Linked DNA regions of Arabidopsis thaliana. The protein of the gene in region 1 interacts with the protein of each later gene in a pairwise test. Each region holds a gene or a part of one and is shown on either strand. Other genes may lie near its edges.

Evidence for each region.
Region 2: the proteins of UMAMIT8 (region 1) and AT2G22425 interact in a protein complementation assay, tested with the Arabidopsis thaliana proteins (one large-scale study listed by BioGRID).
Region 3: the proteins of UMAMIT8 (region 1) and PIP1;5 interact in a protein complementation assay, tested with the Arabidopsis thaliana proteins (one large-scale study listed by BioGRID).
Region 4: the proteins of UMAMIT8 (region 1) and AT3G52070 interact in a protein complementation assay, tested with the Arabidopsis thaliana proteins (one large-scale study listed by BioGRID).

Annotation. Positions count from the first base shown.
Region 1 is NC_003075.7:9,356,934-9,362,309, reverse strand, and holds UMAMIT8 (nodulin MtN21 /EamA-like transporter family protein), read left to right. Parts: upstream 1-2,070; 5' UTR 2,071-2,438; coding exon 2,439-2,629; intron 2,630-2,730; coding exon 2,731-2,796; intron 2,797-2,838; exon of another isoform or gene 2,839-2,938; coding exon 2,939-3,055; intron 3,056-3,150; coding exon 3,151-3,385; intron 3,386-3,488; coding exon 3,489-3,653; coding exon of another isoform or gene 3,654-3,698; exon of another isoform or gene 3,699-3,721; coding exon 3,722-3,873; intron 3,874-3,971; coding exon 3,972-4,125; 3' UTR 4,126-4,404; downstream 4,405-5,376. Other genes in the region: AT4G16630 (DEA(D/H)-box RNA helicase family protein), read left to right, coding at 1-25, 119-134.
Region 2 is NC_003071.7:9,512,501-9,516,359, reverse strand, and holds AT2G22425 (Microsomal signal peptidase 12 kDa subunit (SPC12)), read right to left. Parts: upstream 1,666-3,859; 5' UTR 1,372-1,665; intron 1,288-1,371; 5' UTR 1,282-1,287; coding exon 1,003-1,281; 3' UTR 686-1,002; downstream 1-685. Other genes in the region: AT2G22420 (Peroxidase superfamily protein), read right to left, coding at 1,876-2,469, 2,541-2,732, 2,816-3,019. UniProt on the Arabidopsis thaliana protein: Component of the signal peptidase complex (SPC) which catalyzes the cleavage of N-terminal signal sequences from nascent proteins as they are translocated into the lumen of the endoplasmic reticulum. Dispensable for SPC enzymatic activity.
Region 3 is NC_003075.7:12,218,614-12,223,182, forward strand, and holds PIP1;5 (plasma membrane intrinsic protein 1;5), read left to right. Parts: upstream 1-2,027; 5' UTR 2,028-2,178; coding exon 2,179-2,509; intron 2,510-2,782; coding exon 2,783-3,078; intron 3,079-3,172; coding exon 3,173-3,313; intron 3,314-3,446; coding exon 3,447-3,542; 3' UTR 3,543-3,855; downstream 3,856-4,569. Other genes in the region: AT4G23390 (NEP-interacting protein, putative (DUF239)), read right to left, coding at 1-46, 125-274, 384-611, 691-777, 916-1,074. UniProt on the Arabidopsis thaliana protein: Aquaporins facilitate the transport of water and small neutral solutes across cell membranes.
Region 4 is NC_003074.8:19,310,373-19,313,915, forward strand, and holds AT3G52070 (RNA/RNP complex-1-interacting phosphatase), read left to right. Parts: upstream 1-2,345; 5' UTR 2,346-2,380; coding exon 2,381-2,725; 3' UTR 2,726-2,852; downstream 2,853-3,543. Other genes in the region: AT3G52060 (core-2/I-branching beta-1,6-N-acetylglucosaminyltransferase family protein), read right to left, coding at 615-1,655; AT3G52075 (uncharacterized protein), read right to left, coding at 2,875-3,048.

The DNA.
Region 1 (5,376 bases):
AGAACTCATTCAAGAGCAAAGCCAGGTAAGAAACATTTCATCATAAACATGAAATTTACCAGTAACATAAATTGTAATTTGTTGGTTTAACTCGGTATTTTCTACTTTTATCGTGCAGATATAAGCGTAGGTAAAAGGAAAAAGCATTTTTGAGAAGATATCGAAGGACAATCCCACGAGAAGAAGGACATTTCATTGAGAAGGGTTTAAACAATTTAAATTATTGTTGTAATATCATAATTTAGAACAAAACTGGTTAAGATGTTCGAAATTTTGTTTTCTTTGTCCTATGGTTTTTATAATCTTTCATAAAGCTTTACCATGATTATTCGTAGTATGAAGAAGCAAAAAGTGGTTTAAAAAAAAATTAAAAAAAAAAAGAAGAGGTAAAAAGTCACGTGAGTTGGCGACGGTTGTAGTTGTAGACGCGTGGGCACGTGAGAAGACTATGTATGTTCACAGACTTCAGAACTTGAGACTGTAACCTTTTGTCTGTTCGTACGTGGCACAACTCATTAGTCATTAGAATGTTTTGAACCGGTTTAGGAGCTAATATGAGTTTCTGCATATTCAAGATGCCTTTTATTTCACACCAAGGGGTTTTGATACTAGTTAGGGTCTATAAAACTAAGTCTTAAGTGTTTTGAGCGTGAACTTTTCTTTTTTTTGGTCAGCGTGAAATGTTTCTAAGCTTTTAAACGCATTAAATTTTCATGATATGGATAACAGATGTTACAAAAGAAAAAAATGTATGTGGATAAAGATTAAACTCTTAACTTAATATATTTAGATAGATCGCATATTATATTTGTTGGGAAAAAAAGAGGGGGAGAAAAGAGAGACGATAACACGCTTCACAAGTCATTGGAAAAGAGACTGAGGATTGTTGACGTGTAAGCATCCCCACTTTTGCTCTTTTCTTTCTTACACTCCTCATTTTTTCTTATCTTACGCTTCACCTACCATATTTTACACTCCACACAACATCTCCAATATTATACATCTCCAATTAAAAATCTTTCATAGGCACATCATTTATTATAAAATAACTAATTCGTTATAGACTCTAGTCTAGTTTTCTAGTTAAAACTGATCCCTAGAAAATATTTTGATCATAAAACTATTTCGGTGTGAAAACGAATCACTAAACCATCCTTTGGTGTTTTGGGTTAAATAACTAAAACATTTCGGTATGAAAACAGATCACTAAACCATCTCATTAGCATTAACAAGGATATTAGAATAGGAAGCTTTTTTTACCAATAAAAATGATTATAGGTAGGTAGGCACATGGCATACACATATGATTTATCTGTGAGACTGTGACAAATACAAATATGAAGACATTCCATATTTGCATGCAAGAAAAAAAGAAGGAAGTAAAGAGTGAACAGATAGTCAGATACGTAAAACGAATAAAGGAGAAGATGGTAAGATGTCGTATTATATATCCAAAAATAAGAATACAAACAAAAGAAGAACACTGATAAATATTTTTGTTACTCCCCCGAGAAAAGGCCAAGGTCCCCGAATCTGACGGAGTTTATTGCATCTGTCTTTTTTTCCTTCTTCTCCTTTCTTTTTGGTTTATCTTTCTTTTTCATACTCTGCATGTTTTTAAACTTCACTGTAGTACAGAATTTCATCTTTAACATAAATTTGTGTGAGGGCGATTTATGATCGATCATTCCACCTTTTTTTAAATGACTTTACTGACAAAATAAACATATTATTCTTTAGTCTTAAATAAATAGAATCTTGTTTTATAATTTTGCTATTTTTATTACGTTATTTTACCAATCAAAACTATGGTTTTATATTCCAAATTTTATTAATATAGTGGCAACTTCCCAAATAAAAATCTTGACAATTTGAATAATCTTAAATTTTTGCCTAGCCGATTTGGCGAATTTTATTTATTTATTTATTTGTTCTATTTAAGAAATATCAGACTCACCGAAATATTTATTTCTTAACAAATTAAGCTAACCGCTCTCAAATTTTTGTTTTGTCTTATTTCATACATATTAAATCCATTGCACCAAAATTTGAGGACTCTATGTGTTATAAAAATAATCACCGTTTTAGACTAAAAATAAATTAAAATCTGCGCTTCCCCAAAAAGCTATAATGGCGAGACACTCCATAATAAAACCAATGCAATGTAATGGACACATGTCTTTAAAAGCAAGAAGTGAAAGATAGAGAAAGTTTCAACTTCAAGCATTACACATTACCAAAAAGAGAGATCACAAACAAAGCATCTTTTCTATTTTCATTTATCAACAACAACAAAACCAAAAACTTAATTAGTGTTTCTCTGCTTTTTTAGTTCCCCCACAAAATCGAATCCTTCTGTTCGGTTACCAAATGGGTTCCAACTGATTTGTCCGTTATTATTCTTTTTATTTTCTTCGTGTTTTTTTTGTGTTGAAAAAATGATGAAGAGAGAGACGTTAATAGAAGCAGGAATAATCGGAGGATTGGCCGGAGCTCAGGTGATTTACGCCGGAAACTCGGAGCTACTGAGTCAGTTGCTGTCTCTCGGAATTGACCCACTTCTTATCGTTATCTTATGCACCTTTGCATCAGTTCTTCTCATCACCCCTCTCGCTTTTCTCCTTGAAAGGTATCTTCTTCTTTCTTTTAATTTACAAAATCTCTGTTTCGAACTTTATTCTACATTCTTTTTCTAATAAAAATTTGGATTTTTGTGGTGTGTATTTGTAGGAAGCTTTGGCCTAGAAGTCTAAGTTTCAAGTTGAAGATAAAACTAGTTTTGGTTGCTCTTGCTGGGTAAAAACTCCTCTTTTTATTTATTTCTGCATGTTTTGATTAATAGATGCTTACCTTGCTTCTTCTATACGTTAAAGAGAAGGAGAAGAATTAAAAATTCATAACAAGGGATTAATTAAGAGAGAAGTTGTGTTTGAAACAGAGTGACTCTGTTCCAGGGGTTATTCTTGGAAGGAATGAAACACACCTCTGCTTCAATGGCTACAGCTATGCCTAATCTCTGCCCTGCTTTCATTTTTGTCATTGCTTGGGCTGCTGGGTAAATCTTTTACTTTTGTGTTAATCTAATCTGTTTAGTGTTTGAAGATTAGAGCTTTCATTAATGTGTTATTTGAATAAATTGTAATTGTTAAGGATGGAGAAAGTGAAGCTAAGTTGTATGTATAGTAGAGTTAAGATGGGAGGGACAGTGTTGTGTGTGATGGGAGCTCTCATTATGAGCTTAATGCACAGTACTACCGCTACTTTAAGCTCGGTTAAGACTATACCTATTGTCCCTGACGAAGTCGTTGTGGACAAGGACAAGATCTTAGGTTGCCTCTATCTCCTCCTTGCCATTTGCGGCTTGTCCTCTAGTATTGTCCTTCAGGTTTCACCTTATACCCCTTCTTAGCCCTAGAGCTATCATATATCCGGTTGTGCTAATTAATCTGATTCTTTGCTTGTGAAATCACTTTGATCGTCCTAATTAGGCATCCATACTAGCCGAGTTTCCGGCGCCTATATCAATGTTCTCGATGGTATCTTTGATGGGTGGGATCACCACAGTAGCTTTGCAGTATGCTCTTAAGGGAAGTATGGAAATGGGAAGTGCATCAGTAATCGGTCTCGGCCACCTTGTGGGATACGCAATACTGGTACGTCATAAATCATATATGGTTGGCAACATTTGGATGTGTTGAAAATGTTTTTGTTTTTTTTCTAGGGAGGGTTGGTGAGTGGAGGAGGGTTAAGCTTCAATGCATGGGTGATTAAGAGGAAAGGACCAGTGATTGTGTCTCTCTTTAGTCCAATTGCAACTGTGGTATGTGTTGTTGTCTCTGCTTTTACCATGGAAGAGAGTTTCAACCTAGGAAGGTACATTTTTGCAGCTTTTCGCATTCATTGTATGATCTTTTAGACAGAAAGAGAAGTCATTTATCTTCTTTCTTGTTTGTTTTTCTCTGTCAAATTAGCTTTGCGGGAATGGCGTTGATGTTCGGAGGACTCTACTTCGTTCTGTGGGCTAAAGGAAAAGAGGATTGTGAAGAAATAGATGAAATGAAACAAGATGATGAAGAAAGTTTGCTTAGAACAGAGTTTGATCTTCAGAAGCCTCTCTTGCTTTAGTTCAAAGTCTTTTTTTTTTCTTCTTCTTAATGTTCTTGTGAATTTAGTTTAGGTTTAAAGAAGTAAGACAATTTTACTTTACAGATAATTCGGTTAGATATACATGTAGTAGGCTGTAGACTACAGTATATGTTCGTGTGTGATACTAAAATAGTTGGATATAAAAAAAACATCACATACATACAGGGCGAAGAAAAAGGGCCTAAACGATGTTATGTAAAAAGTTGTTCAATGTGAAGGTATATTTATATATAAATAAAAATTACCGTTGAGTTAGAAGATGAAGATAAACCTACCTAATATGAGAATGCGAATGGAACTAAGCAAATACACGCCAAAGACTGTTTTCCTATTCCCAAAGAAAAGCTGAGCCAGAGTATAAGTCAGGTGTGGAGATGGAGTTAGATAATGACAAACAAGGTAGAAACAAAAAAACGCAAGTCAGGGTATTTATAGAATTGTCATTACATAGCAGATGACCAAGCAGGTTAGTGTCCGCTATATCGGAAAGCTTCAAGAGAACGGGAAGATCTTCGATTCCACCATTGGAAAAGCACCTTTTAATACTTATGTGATATGGCAATTAAGGGATGGAGTTATGTGATTGGTACGTGATACTTATGAAGTTGTTGTTACATGCAGGTCATGGTAAAGTCATTAAGGGATGGGATGTTGGCTTAAATGGTAACTTAGTTTCGTCCTCCTAAAGGTTTTCATCACTTTGTTTCAAATGGTGTATTGCTCTCAAGTTTTAAAAATTTCACAGGCATGTGTGTTGGGGACAAAAGAAGGATTACAATTCCTCCATCAATGTCGATATCTTCTTCTCTTTCTCCATGCGCTTGATGGATACCTTCAATATCTTCTCTACATAAAATCTTGGCGAACGACTATAATTGTACTTCGTTGTAGATATCATGCATACGTGCTTCCATTAATCTGCAAATTTGCTAATAAATCGCAGTAGCTGGAACTGGAACATTAGACTTCTGGATGTAAAAGCATTAATGAACTTTTGGTCAACCATTAGACCAAGAGGTTTCCACGATTTCTTTCTTATAGTCAATTAATATATTTATTTGGATGAAAAGTTAACTAATATTAAACACTGAACAGAGATTTTTTTGTTTGCATCTGAAGAGTTACGTAGTTACTGAAAATTGAGATTGAAGCAAAGCTAAGTAGTTAACACGATAGATTCCATTGTGTAAGCCTCTTCTTTACTCAACTATGTATTAAAGTTCCAACAAC
Region 2 (3,859 bases), on another chromosome or scaffold:
TCCCAAATTTTCTTGTCCTATTCTCTTATGGAGTATTAGAGTAATATGCTTATTGTATGGTTTTTCAGGTTCACAACCTTTTACCCAATTCACACAGAAACCTCTTTTCTTGACCACATTGGTAATGACACTAGCCGAGCATTCAAGATATACGTTTGTCATATATACCTTGTATTTGATTTTGTCTCTAGAGTTGACTAGTTTCTTACAATCACTGAATTTTCCTCTATTGTTTATCCACATGATGTATTTTTTTTGCGATACCATGTAGATTTTGGCTATTGCTACTTCCGGAGAGCTCTCTCTTTGTTTGTGAATTTGCTTCATCCTTCTGGTGAAGGTATACTTTTCATATCCTCTGCTTCTTCCTAATGCTGACCTAACTAAACCACTCCTTTTTCTCCACAGCTCATTTACAAGCATCCTGCCAAATGTTGGTTCTCTCAAATTCTGATTCCAAACCTGTACGCGTTCGCTGATTCAACTGTCATTTCGTTTCATAAGCCTATGACCTACCTTTAAGCGTTCGCGTTCGCCAGATGACTCGAATCTCCCGGAATATGAACCCGTGCAAATCCTCTGACCAGCGACTAGCGGAACAGTTTGGAATCACACAAACTATTTCTACTTCGACTCAAGAAAATAAGAAGGAGCAAAGCATCAAAGACTAGCATTGGTTTTTGCACACAAGCTTAACACAGAGTGTAAATGGATGGTGTGATATTTATGTACCATTTTCATAAAAACTGAGACTTTTGTGATTCATAAGACTTTTTCATCTAAAACTCTCTGATGATAGATAATCTACACAATTCAGTGAAATTGCCAGATTACAGCCATAGCCATTGATTCAAAAGCAAATTCCTTTGGCAAAAACAGATAATTATAAGAATCAACCCAGAATATTCAATTCATAATTAAGATTCCGATCCACAAATATCTCATACAAACAATTCTGAGAGAGAGAGAGAGAGAGAGAGAGAGAGAGATTCAGAATCAGACCTATTTCTTAGAGAATTTCTTCTTCGAAGCAACACTGACAACTTCTGGTTTGGGATGCTTCTCGGCTTCGCTCGGATCTAACCATTTGAGAGGATGAAGATTGTAGAAAGGCCAATTAGGTACAGTAACCAAAGTCGTGAGAACAACACCACCGGCATAGATCAGCATCATCGTCCTGAACGATTCCGTTGTGTAGCCAACAACCACCGCTACAACGCCGGAGATCACCAGTAAGATCTGCATCAGCTGCTCCACCAGTTTCTGTCCTTGCCAATCCATTTTCTTCTACACAACGAAATCAAAAACCATTAGCGATTTGAATCCAAAGTTAAACAAAAGAGAGAATCTGAGAACCCTAATTGCACAAACCTTTAGCGATCTGATCTCTCACTGAATCTGTAAACCTGATTTTCAACAATGGGGAAGAAAAGAAAGGACTCTTGACATTTATGAGCTAAGACCACAAAATCGGTTTAAAAGTAAACCGGATAAAGTGGACGGTCAGATTACTCTATAACCGGGTGAACCGGCGGTTTTTAATGTGCCTTAATTATTTCGAGATTTTGTATATGTGCAAATTCTGAAACCTTGAAACAAGGAATATTTACATTTAAGTTTCTTTGTGTGTACCTCAGAATTAGAATGTTGCTACTTGTCCAGTCCATAATTTGTTTATTGGGACAACAACTTCAGTGATTAGATAATGTTTACTATTTTATAGACTGGTGTGACCAGATTGTAGCTTTAGCAGTGACCAGTATTCATAAACCAAAATCAAAGTTTTGGAGAACCAAGATCCATGGCATGTAGCTAAAAAGATTTGCATCAATTTAGAAGTCATAATTAAGATTTCTTCTCTTTACTAATGATAATTCAAGATACAAGCAATACATCAATAGGCCTTCTATTAACAACTCTACAATTAAACCTAATCTCACCAGGTCTCCCAGATTGCAAATCACCCAACTTCACCATGCCTTCTGCAAAAGCCCTAAAGAACTCATCTTGATCCTCACTAAACATCTTCACATACTCTCTCGTCACTAGATTCGTGTACAAAGTCTGATCAGAGTTAAGAAACCCTCTCCCTGAAACCAAGTCTTTGAAATACTGATTATCAAAAACCTGAGGTGTTGCATCTAGATCTCCAGTCACATTCTCATCTCCACCCAAAGGACAAAGCTTATCAAGCTTCTTACGGTAACTCGGTTCAAGAGCTGGATCCGGTTTACCAGAACCGGATTGGTTATAAAGTCTGAACATGATTGAAAAACACCGACCTTGACCTATTGAGTGTGACCCTGATAAAGCAACCATGTCTTTTACAGAAAGATTGAATCTTTCGAAGAGATCAATCAAGAAAGTTGCGTTGGCTCTTGGACTTGGCATTATATCGTCGGAATCTTGCTGACTCGCTGTTAAACTGTCTTTCCTCCCTAGCTTCACTTCCCAATCTGGTCCTCCTGTCTGGTTTTTTCAAAGACCAAAATTACAAAACCGAGATTTCACTAAACCGGGGAAATTGAATTTTGACTTACAAGAGCAACGGCGTCACGAGCGGCCATGATAACGATATCGGCACAAGAAACAGTAGCTGGACAAGCTTTCTCTAGAGCTTCTTTAATGTCGTCAACGACTTCGAAAGATCTTAGTGAATCGATGTTGGAAAGTGATAGTTTTTCACCAAGCATGTTTGGTGTGTCGTCAAGCAACAGAGATGCGTCACATCCCTGAATTTGATGATTCAAAGAAAAATTCAGAGAGGAAAACAGAGTAAAGATCAAGAACAGAGAGAAAGATTTATAGTGTTTACATTGACGAAACAGTCGTGAAATTGGAAACGCATGACGGAAGCGACGCTTCTTGCTTCTTTGATCATTGCTTTCTTCATTTCTCTTCTTACTATGGATTCAGCTTCAGGGCATGTCTCGCTGTAGAATCTTGGTCGGAGAGTTTCTCCAGTAACAACCACCGTCAAAAGTGTTAGGTAGAGGATGAGATGGGGAAGAAGAGACATACTTTTTTCTTTTTTGGTGTTGTGTTTCAGTGATTGAAGAAGAAGTAGAGACTTTGTTTGTTGGGTTATAAAGAGGTTTTTGGTGGTTTTCGAGAATGATACTAAAGGCTTTTGTGTTTATAGATGGAATTTGTGCAAGTGTGGTCTCTGGTGGTGGTGGGCATTCCAATTTCTATAATTTATTTCTTTAATAAATAGAAATAAATAAATAAATAAATAAAGAAATAAATTTTCTAATTATAGAATTGGTGCCAATGGGGGATTAGTGTAGTAATTTGGTAAAATTATGGGTTTGTGAAATTATTGAATGATGAATCTGAAGTAATGTTAAATGTTTGTTAAGTTTGGATTATTGCAGTGTATATTAGCTGGCAAAAATAAAGAAGATAAAAGGATAATTGATCAAATTTTTTTTATAAAGGTGTGAAACTTTTGTACGTAATTGTTAAAATTGGTAAAACATCCATTATACAGTATTTAGATGAACAGTACTACTCTCTTTGTTTATTATTGTATTTTGTAGGAAATTTTTTTGATTCGAAAAGATAGTCATTTTTAAAATTTCTATGCAATATTTATTACTAGTTATTATTGATGTGTAAACTTCAAGAAGAATAATATATTTCTAATCAACTTTTAATATGTTTTTTAAGATGTGTGAAAATCCTAAAAATACATTAATAAGAAACATCTTATGAAAAATAATTACTATTAAAAACATCTTAAGAAAAATCTAAATATATATTCATAACATACAAAAATAATTACTACTCCATATTAATAAGATACATTAATACTAATAGTGATTATTTTTGTATAATATGAATAGTTAGATTTTTG
Region 3 (4,569 bases), 2.9 Mb from region 1:
AAGTGAACAAGTGACTTTGATTATTCTGATTTAGCCCTGGATACACCTAAAAACATATTTTGGAATGTTAGTTCCAAATTTTTGATTTAGAAAATAAGTAAAAATAGGGTCTAGCTTGACTTACAATCCATCCAGCAGAAATGCTTTGAAATCCTTTGTTGCCTGATACAGCCATAGCCGCAAGACTAAATTGATCAGGTGAGACGTTTGGATTCCATACGTTAATGTTTCCTTTTGCTCCATAGTGGTCATCTTTGTAACTAATTGTGGCAAACTAAAATCCGAAGAGAAAAAGAATAGATAATCAAAAAATATTATAAGCATTGTGGACAAGTTACAAGGCGATCTCAATTCAACTACGTGTAATAAGAAATGATTCTTACATGATGACCAGTTAAATCAATTTTCTTGTCCTTTGCAGACACTTGTCCTGGATAGTTGAATCGTAAGGATTGCAAACGTTGAGCTCGTATAAGATCTTCAAGTATAATTCTTTTGACAATGACTGTCCCAACTGGACAACTTATGTCATCTTGTCGAAATGGCAGAGAACTAGTTTTATGAGAAGCGTTGTTATCTTTGGTCCATTTAGGTATAGTTGTGGGTTTCAACTGCATTTATATTTCAATCCATCCAAACATTAATAAGAATTTTATTTATAGATATTTTTTCGTGGTTTGTAGGATAAACCTTAATAGAATGGTTCTTGAGCAAAGGATGATCAAAAGCTAGCTGTTTTTGAATGTCGATGCAGTCAAATATATAACCATGTTCAGTCTGTCGAAATCAAAAGCAAGAAAAAATTGGTGTGGTCTGAAAATAAATGTAACTTGATGATAGTTGTAATATTGTTACAATAGTCAACAATTTTTGTAATGTTTTATGAAAATTTAAGAAAAGAAAGGCTAAATTTACTTGGAAACTTTTGACTGCAGGTTTATTGAGATAGGTAAGTAGCTTCTTCATCTCTTCTTTCTCCTCTTTCGAAGGTATTGTTTTGTGACTCTCTCCAACTAAAATGAGAGCTATTGTTGATAAAGTTAGCAAGATAATTAGTTTATTGGAATACCTCATGATGAATCAAGGATCTTAATCTATATTTTTCAAAAGAAAAAATGAAGCAGAACAACTATATTTATTGTGTCACATAAATCTGAGATCATTTATAACCACCAAAGAACCTATACACAGTAAATGACAAATGTATCTCCCTCTATCTCTATTGCCCATATGTAGATGCTAAAGTAAGATTTCTCTTTTTTTTAATGTACTTTTTTTTGTATAAAGTATATTCCATAAGAAAAAGGAAAAGCTTGTTTATGGATCAATTGACCCCAAAAAAAGTTTTTAGATCAAAGCCCAATATAAAAAAAAAACACAGTAGTGACACAAAGGAACTTAAATAAACCATGAATTGATCTATAAACAGTAGAGATCGATAAGGCGAACATTTTCCATGTGAAGTGTCTTCTTTCATCTATAATATTTTTGACATCCAATAATTTCCTCTATAATATCATTCACATAATTGATAGAAACATTATGTTAGAATTGTCCACATCATTTGAGCTGTAATATATTCTGTTTTAACAAATTATATGGTAGTTGCTTAATCTTATGTCCATCTTCTTCTATGCATCGTTTTCGCGCCTAGTTGTCCAGTCCATTTCAACTACCTACCTCTAATTCTTATCTTAAAACAACATTTTTTAATTTAAGTATTATGCTCAAAGACTAACTAGATAGAAAACCGTTATTAAACATTAAACGAATTAAAAGTCTTACATGGAAAATGTAGGTTTATAAACCACGAGTTATGATTGACAATAAAAAAAATGCAAATCATCAATCAAAAGAGACTTGAGTGCGACTCTATATCAACCATTGCAATTAAAATTATCTATCACAAAAATTTTAGACAGATTAAGTTAATTTAGTCTAAATTCACTAATTTATTTTCTATAATTAGTAATTAACTATATTTATTTATTTACACATTTTCTGATAATTTAGAAATTTGCATGAATAACAAATATAAGATTTTGGAAATTAGTAGCAAATTTAATTAATAATTATTTTTGCCTAAATGAACCAAACTATAAAACCTCCACATACACCAGTCATCAAATTTACAGAGACAACAAACTAAAGTTGGTGGTGATAGAGTGAGAGAGAAACATGGAAGGCAAAGAAGAAGACGTCAATGTTGGAGCCAACAAGTTCCCAGAGAGACAGCCGATCGGTACGGCGGCTCAGACGGAGAGCAAGGACTATAAGGAACCACCACCGGCGCCGTTTTTCGAACCCGGCGAGCTCAAATCTTGGTCTTTCTACAGAGCAGGGATAGCTGAGTTCATAGCCACTTTCCTTTTCCTCTACGTCACCGTTTTGACAGTCATGGGTGTTAAGAGAGCTCCCAATATGTGTGCCTCTGTTGGAATCCAAGGCATCGCTTGGGCTTTTGGTGGCATGATCTTTGCTCTTGTTTACTGTACTGCTGGAATCTCAGGTTCAGGATCTGTTCTTGCTCTGAATTTTGTTTAAAGTTTTCGAATTTAGGTTGAAGGAATCTGGAATTAGGGTTACTTGGTTGTGAGAAACTTGGATATAATGAAGAAAGTTTGATACTTAAAAGTAATTTCACATTTAAAGATTGAAACTTTGAGTAATTTTCTTCTTAAAGTTTGAAACTTTGGTTAGTTTGCCCCACTTTGTTTCTTCTGTGTGAAGATCATAATCTGATTTTGACTTGTGTGTGGCGAATTGGTTTGGTAATGAGCAGGAGGACATATTAATCCGGCGGTGACTTTTGGTTTGTTCTTGGCGAGGAAGCTATCTTTAACCAGAGCTCTGTTCTACATAGTAATGCAGTGCCTTGGAGCTATATGTGGTGCTGGTGTGGTTAAAGGGTTTCAACCAGGGCTGTACCAGACGAATGGCGGTGGAGCTAATGTGGTGGCTCATGGTTACACAAAGGGTTCAGGTCTTGGTGCAGAGATTGTTGGAACTTTTGTTCTGGTTTACACTGTTTTCTCAGCTACTGATGCTAAGAGAAGTGCCAGAGACTCTCATGTCCCTGTATGTTGCTAATTCTCTAGTATCCTTGAGTTGTGTTGAGTTCATATTCTTCACATAGAGCTCATGTGTTTTTTGGTTATCGAACATTTTGCAGATCTTGGCTCCGCTTCCAATTGGGTTTGCTGTCTTCTTGGTGCACTTGGCTACCATCCCAATTACTGGAACTGGCATTAACCCGGCCAGGAGTCTCGGAGCTGCCATCATCTACAACAAGGATCATGCTTGGGATGACCATGTAAGTTTTCCTCTTTAATTACATCAACGGTTGTGCTAAGTATGATAAGTTATGAATTGCATCTAAATAGCAACTCAGAATTTTTGATAATTCTGCTCTTATCTGTTGTCTCTTTTGTTTTATGTGTCTGCAGTGGATCTTCTGGGTCGGTCCATTCATTGGTGCTGCGCTTGCTGCTCTGTACCATCAGATAGTCATCAGAGCTATTCCTTTCAAGTCCAAGACATAAAGTTTCCTACATATTCTCTGATCATCATCAAGCTAAGAATATATCAATCTTTAATTCTATATGCTTTCTTCTTGTTTCCTATGTCATGTGTGATGATCTCTATATGTACCACTAGAGCTTTGATCTTGTAACAGTGTAAATGTGTAATCTATTATGTATCAATGGCATTGTATCTTGTAACATTAATTATGTCAATGGAAGAATACATTGTGTACATGTGTAAGCTCAGAATCTTGTTTGAATATCACAGAGACATAACTGAACTGGACATAGGTATGCTAAGTTGCTAACATTGTCAATAAGTGTTTCCAATACCAAACATTAGCAACATAATTGTAAAATGTGTAGAATTTGATAGAACAACATCTAAGCCGAACTGAACTGGTCTAACACCATCATCGCAAGTATTTCTTCATCTTCTTTCTTCTATAAGAGTCTTTCATTTTCCACTTTTTATAACATGCTTATAACTGAATTTTCAACTTTTGAATCACAGTTTCAGTTATAGATATTCTTGGATGATGTTCAGTTCGGGGTTTTGGTTTTGGTTTTGGTTTTGGTTGATAGTCATGAAAATGCATGTTCTGTTCCACATGGTAGGGTTCCAGTAAAATAATAAAAGAACCAGATTTAGTAACATCTTTCACATGAATGATAACATATTTCACATGTTTGATGCAGCAACTTGTAATATGGATGATAGTCATGAAAGAATCTAATGGGCCAAGAAATGTGAAAGAGTCTACATGACTATCATCCAAAAAAGAGTTGTAGCAATATGGATGGGCCAAGAAAGTGCAAGACTTCAGCTTGAGCTTGACTTTAAGAGAATAAGTAATTTGCATTTGCCCTTTGGTCATGTAGTACTCGGGTTGTTTACATTTATCAAACAAATATCAGAGTTGTTTATTGTTATTTGGGAAAATCTTTAAACTTTCTACATAATCTTTGAGACTAGTGGGAATTAAGAGTGGTGATGTAGTGGATCAAGATTAAAAAAAGTTGATTGTTTAAAACATCGAGTATC
Region 4 (3,543 bases), on another chromosome or scaffold:
AATCTGACCGACAGTATAACAATAAGCCATCTAGTTCACAATCAATGGGCTGGACTAGATGATTCATTAATTAAAAGAACGTCATATGACCATAACTTGGTGCATTTTCACCATTGTTTTGTTACTTTGCAATTAGTAATTCATCAAAGTAAAAACACTTGAAATAACAAAGATCTTTTCATTCACACTTTTTTCGAAACAAAAGAGAGGGAACAACACTTTTGCCATTCCCTCTCTCTCCCGTGGAAAGGAGCTGAATTACAAAAGAAAAGCCGATTTGGCTTTATCTTAATGATGATGCTCTCACTTTGCCTTTGGGGGCTCTCTATTTACATTCTTTTTTACATCCATTTTCCCATATCTCTACCTTCCCTAGAGACACACAAAAGCTTAAAAAACACAGCAATTTTCACACACACACACAGAAGTTCATCTTTATTTAGCCACTCTTCTTCGAGCGCCAACACAAGCTTCTTCCTAAACCTTCCTTATGATGATATCTGAAACCTGAACACAATAACAAGAAGATAAGCAAATTGAAACTAAACTCTCAAACTGTATTCATATTTACACATTGAGATTTCAGTGTTATACCTAATTTACTTTCACCGAATTCAATCCCTAAAGATCACAGCATCTGCAATCTCCATAAGCGGTTGCAATGACTCCGGCGTGAATTTTCTGGCGAAGAAATAGTCTAAACTCGAATTAGATCTCCGCAGAGAGTGAATCAGCTGCGGCGAGATCTCAGAGGCATCGTACGTGTGAGGATGACCACCAACACTACCGGTCCAATTAACACGTGTGAGTGTAAAGTGACTACATCCTTGAGGATCCTCAAGAGACAACAAAGTCGGAAAATAATGTTCTTCAGGGTAACAAGATTCAACATCAAGGCATGGTAATTTGAATTTCCTCCATAGCTTTCTCTCTTTGATCACCATTAGAGCATGACGTTTCGCTAATACGAAGAACTGAGATCCAACACGGAAGTCTTGGTACTGGATCTCAGGAAGCATCGCGTCGTCTCCTCTTGCGTTGTATCGTTTCAGAAGGAACGGTTCATCGGAGAGGATCTCGATGAAGCTTTGTTGATGATGATCGGAGAAGAGGTGGTTGTGGATGTAAGAGAAGGAATGGAGAGGGATACAGTGTTGTGAGATTAAAGCGAAATAGAGATTGTTAGGATCGTCGAGGATTGCGTTTGCTAGTAATCGTCGTTCGGCGGAGATTAACGTCGGAGAAGCTCGTGCGGTTCTTCTCGCCGGGATGAACTTAGCGTTGATTGATGAAGAATCGAGAAGAGGAGAGACGGAGGAGGTTGGATCTGCGTGGATGTAAACGTTGTAGAGATCTTGGTGACCTTGGAAGAAGCTTTCCCAGAGAGGTAAGAAGGTTAGATCGGAGTTTGTTAGGAAGAGGAAAGCGATCTTTGGGGGTGGATTTGGAGAGAGGGAGATGAGACGACGGTTGTTGTTGGTGGAGGAAGAGACGACGGCGCGGTGGAAGAGAGAGAGGTCGTCTAGGTCATCGGCGGTGGAAATGAGGGTAGAGGAAGAGAGAAGGATGTGTGGTGAGAGGATGAAGAGGAAGAAGAGAAGAGAAAGAGAGAGGAAGAGAGATAGAGAATAAACGAGTGTAGAAGATGAGAACATCTCTCTGTATACAACAACACAGAATTTCTCTGAGGAAGAAGAAGAAGAAGAAGAAGAAGATTGATTGAAATGAATGAGTTAGAAAAAATTCTGATGTGACAATAAAAAGGAAAAAGGGGAATAATGACGTCAGCAAAATGGGGACACGTGAAATTATTTTTAAAATTATTTGGGACAATCGACACAGTTGCTCTATCGCTATTTGTTTACGTGGGGCTGTTCTCTCTCTATTTATATAATAATGAGATACGGTTTTTTCAGCAACCAGATTTTAAAGTTATCTGATTAAATCTAATAATAGGATAGAGATAGAGTCACAGAGACATGTTGTTGACTTTATGACATTATTTTATTCTTTGCTTATCCACTCAGTCATCATTTATCTCACCAGTCAGACATAATGTGTTGTTGTTGTGAATTTGTAGATGCTTCCGACTATACCTGATTACCTGGCCATTCAGAATCGGTTTGGATCAAAAAATTTGGGTTTTCGGTTTAGAAATCGAAACAAACCGAATTAGTTGAAACGAACCGAATAGAAATTCGGCCAATTTGGTTTTGCATTGGCGTGTACCTTGTGACTACATGTGTGTGTGTTAGATGAGATCTATCCACCCATTTTTCAAATCATTTTTGTCGTTAAGCTATCAAGATTCTGATATTTTCCTGCTCACTTTTGATTCCCAAAACAAAAAACTTTCTTCAATTATTCTATTCATCTTCTCATGGCGGCTCTCTCCACCACCTTCTACTACCACCCACTCTGCACTAACCACCGTACAAAGAGACAAGCCTCAAGCAGACACGGAGTTAGATCTATGAGAGTGATGTCTTGTCGGAAGCAGAAATTACCAGAAGAGAATGAAGGAGTGATCCAGAGAACATTGAGAAGGATGATTTCAGAGGCTGGGAAGATTGGGAAGAATCTGAAGCCAGAGAAGAAGAAAGGAGACGTCAAGGACCTGATGCTTATGAGTCTCTCTTTTGCTGTTTATGTTTATATCTCTCAACTATTGGTTTGTGCTTACTTCTCCTGGCAACATCTCAGCTTCCCCAAATCTTCATGGTAGTAGCTAAGCTAGCTCCTCCTTGTAAATTCTGCACAAATCAGTAATAAGATAAGAAATTCAATTCCGACATAGGAGAATTGAGAGTTGTGATCTTTCACTTTGGTCTTATATAATTGAATTGTTAAGCTTCTCATACCTCTTTATCTGCTTTAACTCCGGCAGAAAAGGCAAACCAACCATTGCGATAACACTATCAACCAGTTAAGGCTCTTTGTTTTAGAGCCGAAAGGAGATGCAAGAGCCTCGGGCAGAGTCGCTGAGTATGCCTTGAAAACCAAAACTTTGACCGTAATTGTTAGAAAGAAAGAGAGATTCCTAACCATTTCGTATTGGCCTCCTCCAATTTATCCTCCTTAAACAGAGAGCCCCATCCATTTTCCTTCTGTGTGCTGCACCAAACCTTTCCTCCATAGTCATATCACTGCGAGCTTTTCCCTGTACAATCCAACCTCTAAGTCAGCTATAAGCAAAGAGCTTGGGATAAAAGCTTGGTTGTGGAGTGTTCAGGTAAGGAAACAAGAATCAGCAAATGATCTTAAAGAAAAAACGTTCCTCCTTTGTTTCATCAAATCCAACAACTTCAGCGTCATCTAACAATTCCGCTATAGATGGAACATTGGGAAAAAGAAGAGTTTCCATCTCTCCTATATGCTAAATTCCCAGCAAACATGCAAGAGCGCACGTTCACCAGACTTGATGCTGGAAACACCAATAGCTAAACCGGCCATTACTTGTATCTCTGTTCATAGAGGACATTTCACTCCTTAGTTTTTAATCTTGTTTAAAGCTCTGTATACTAACATAAACATGCATGAATC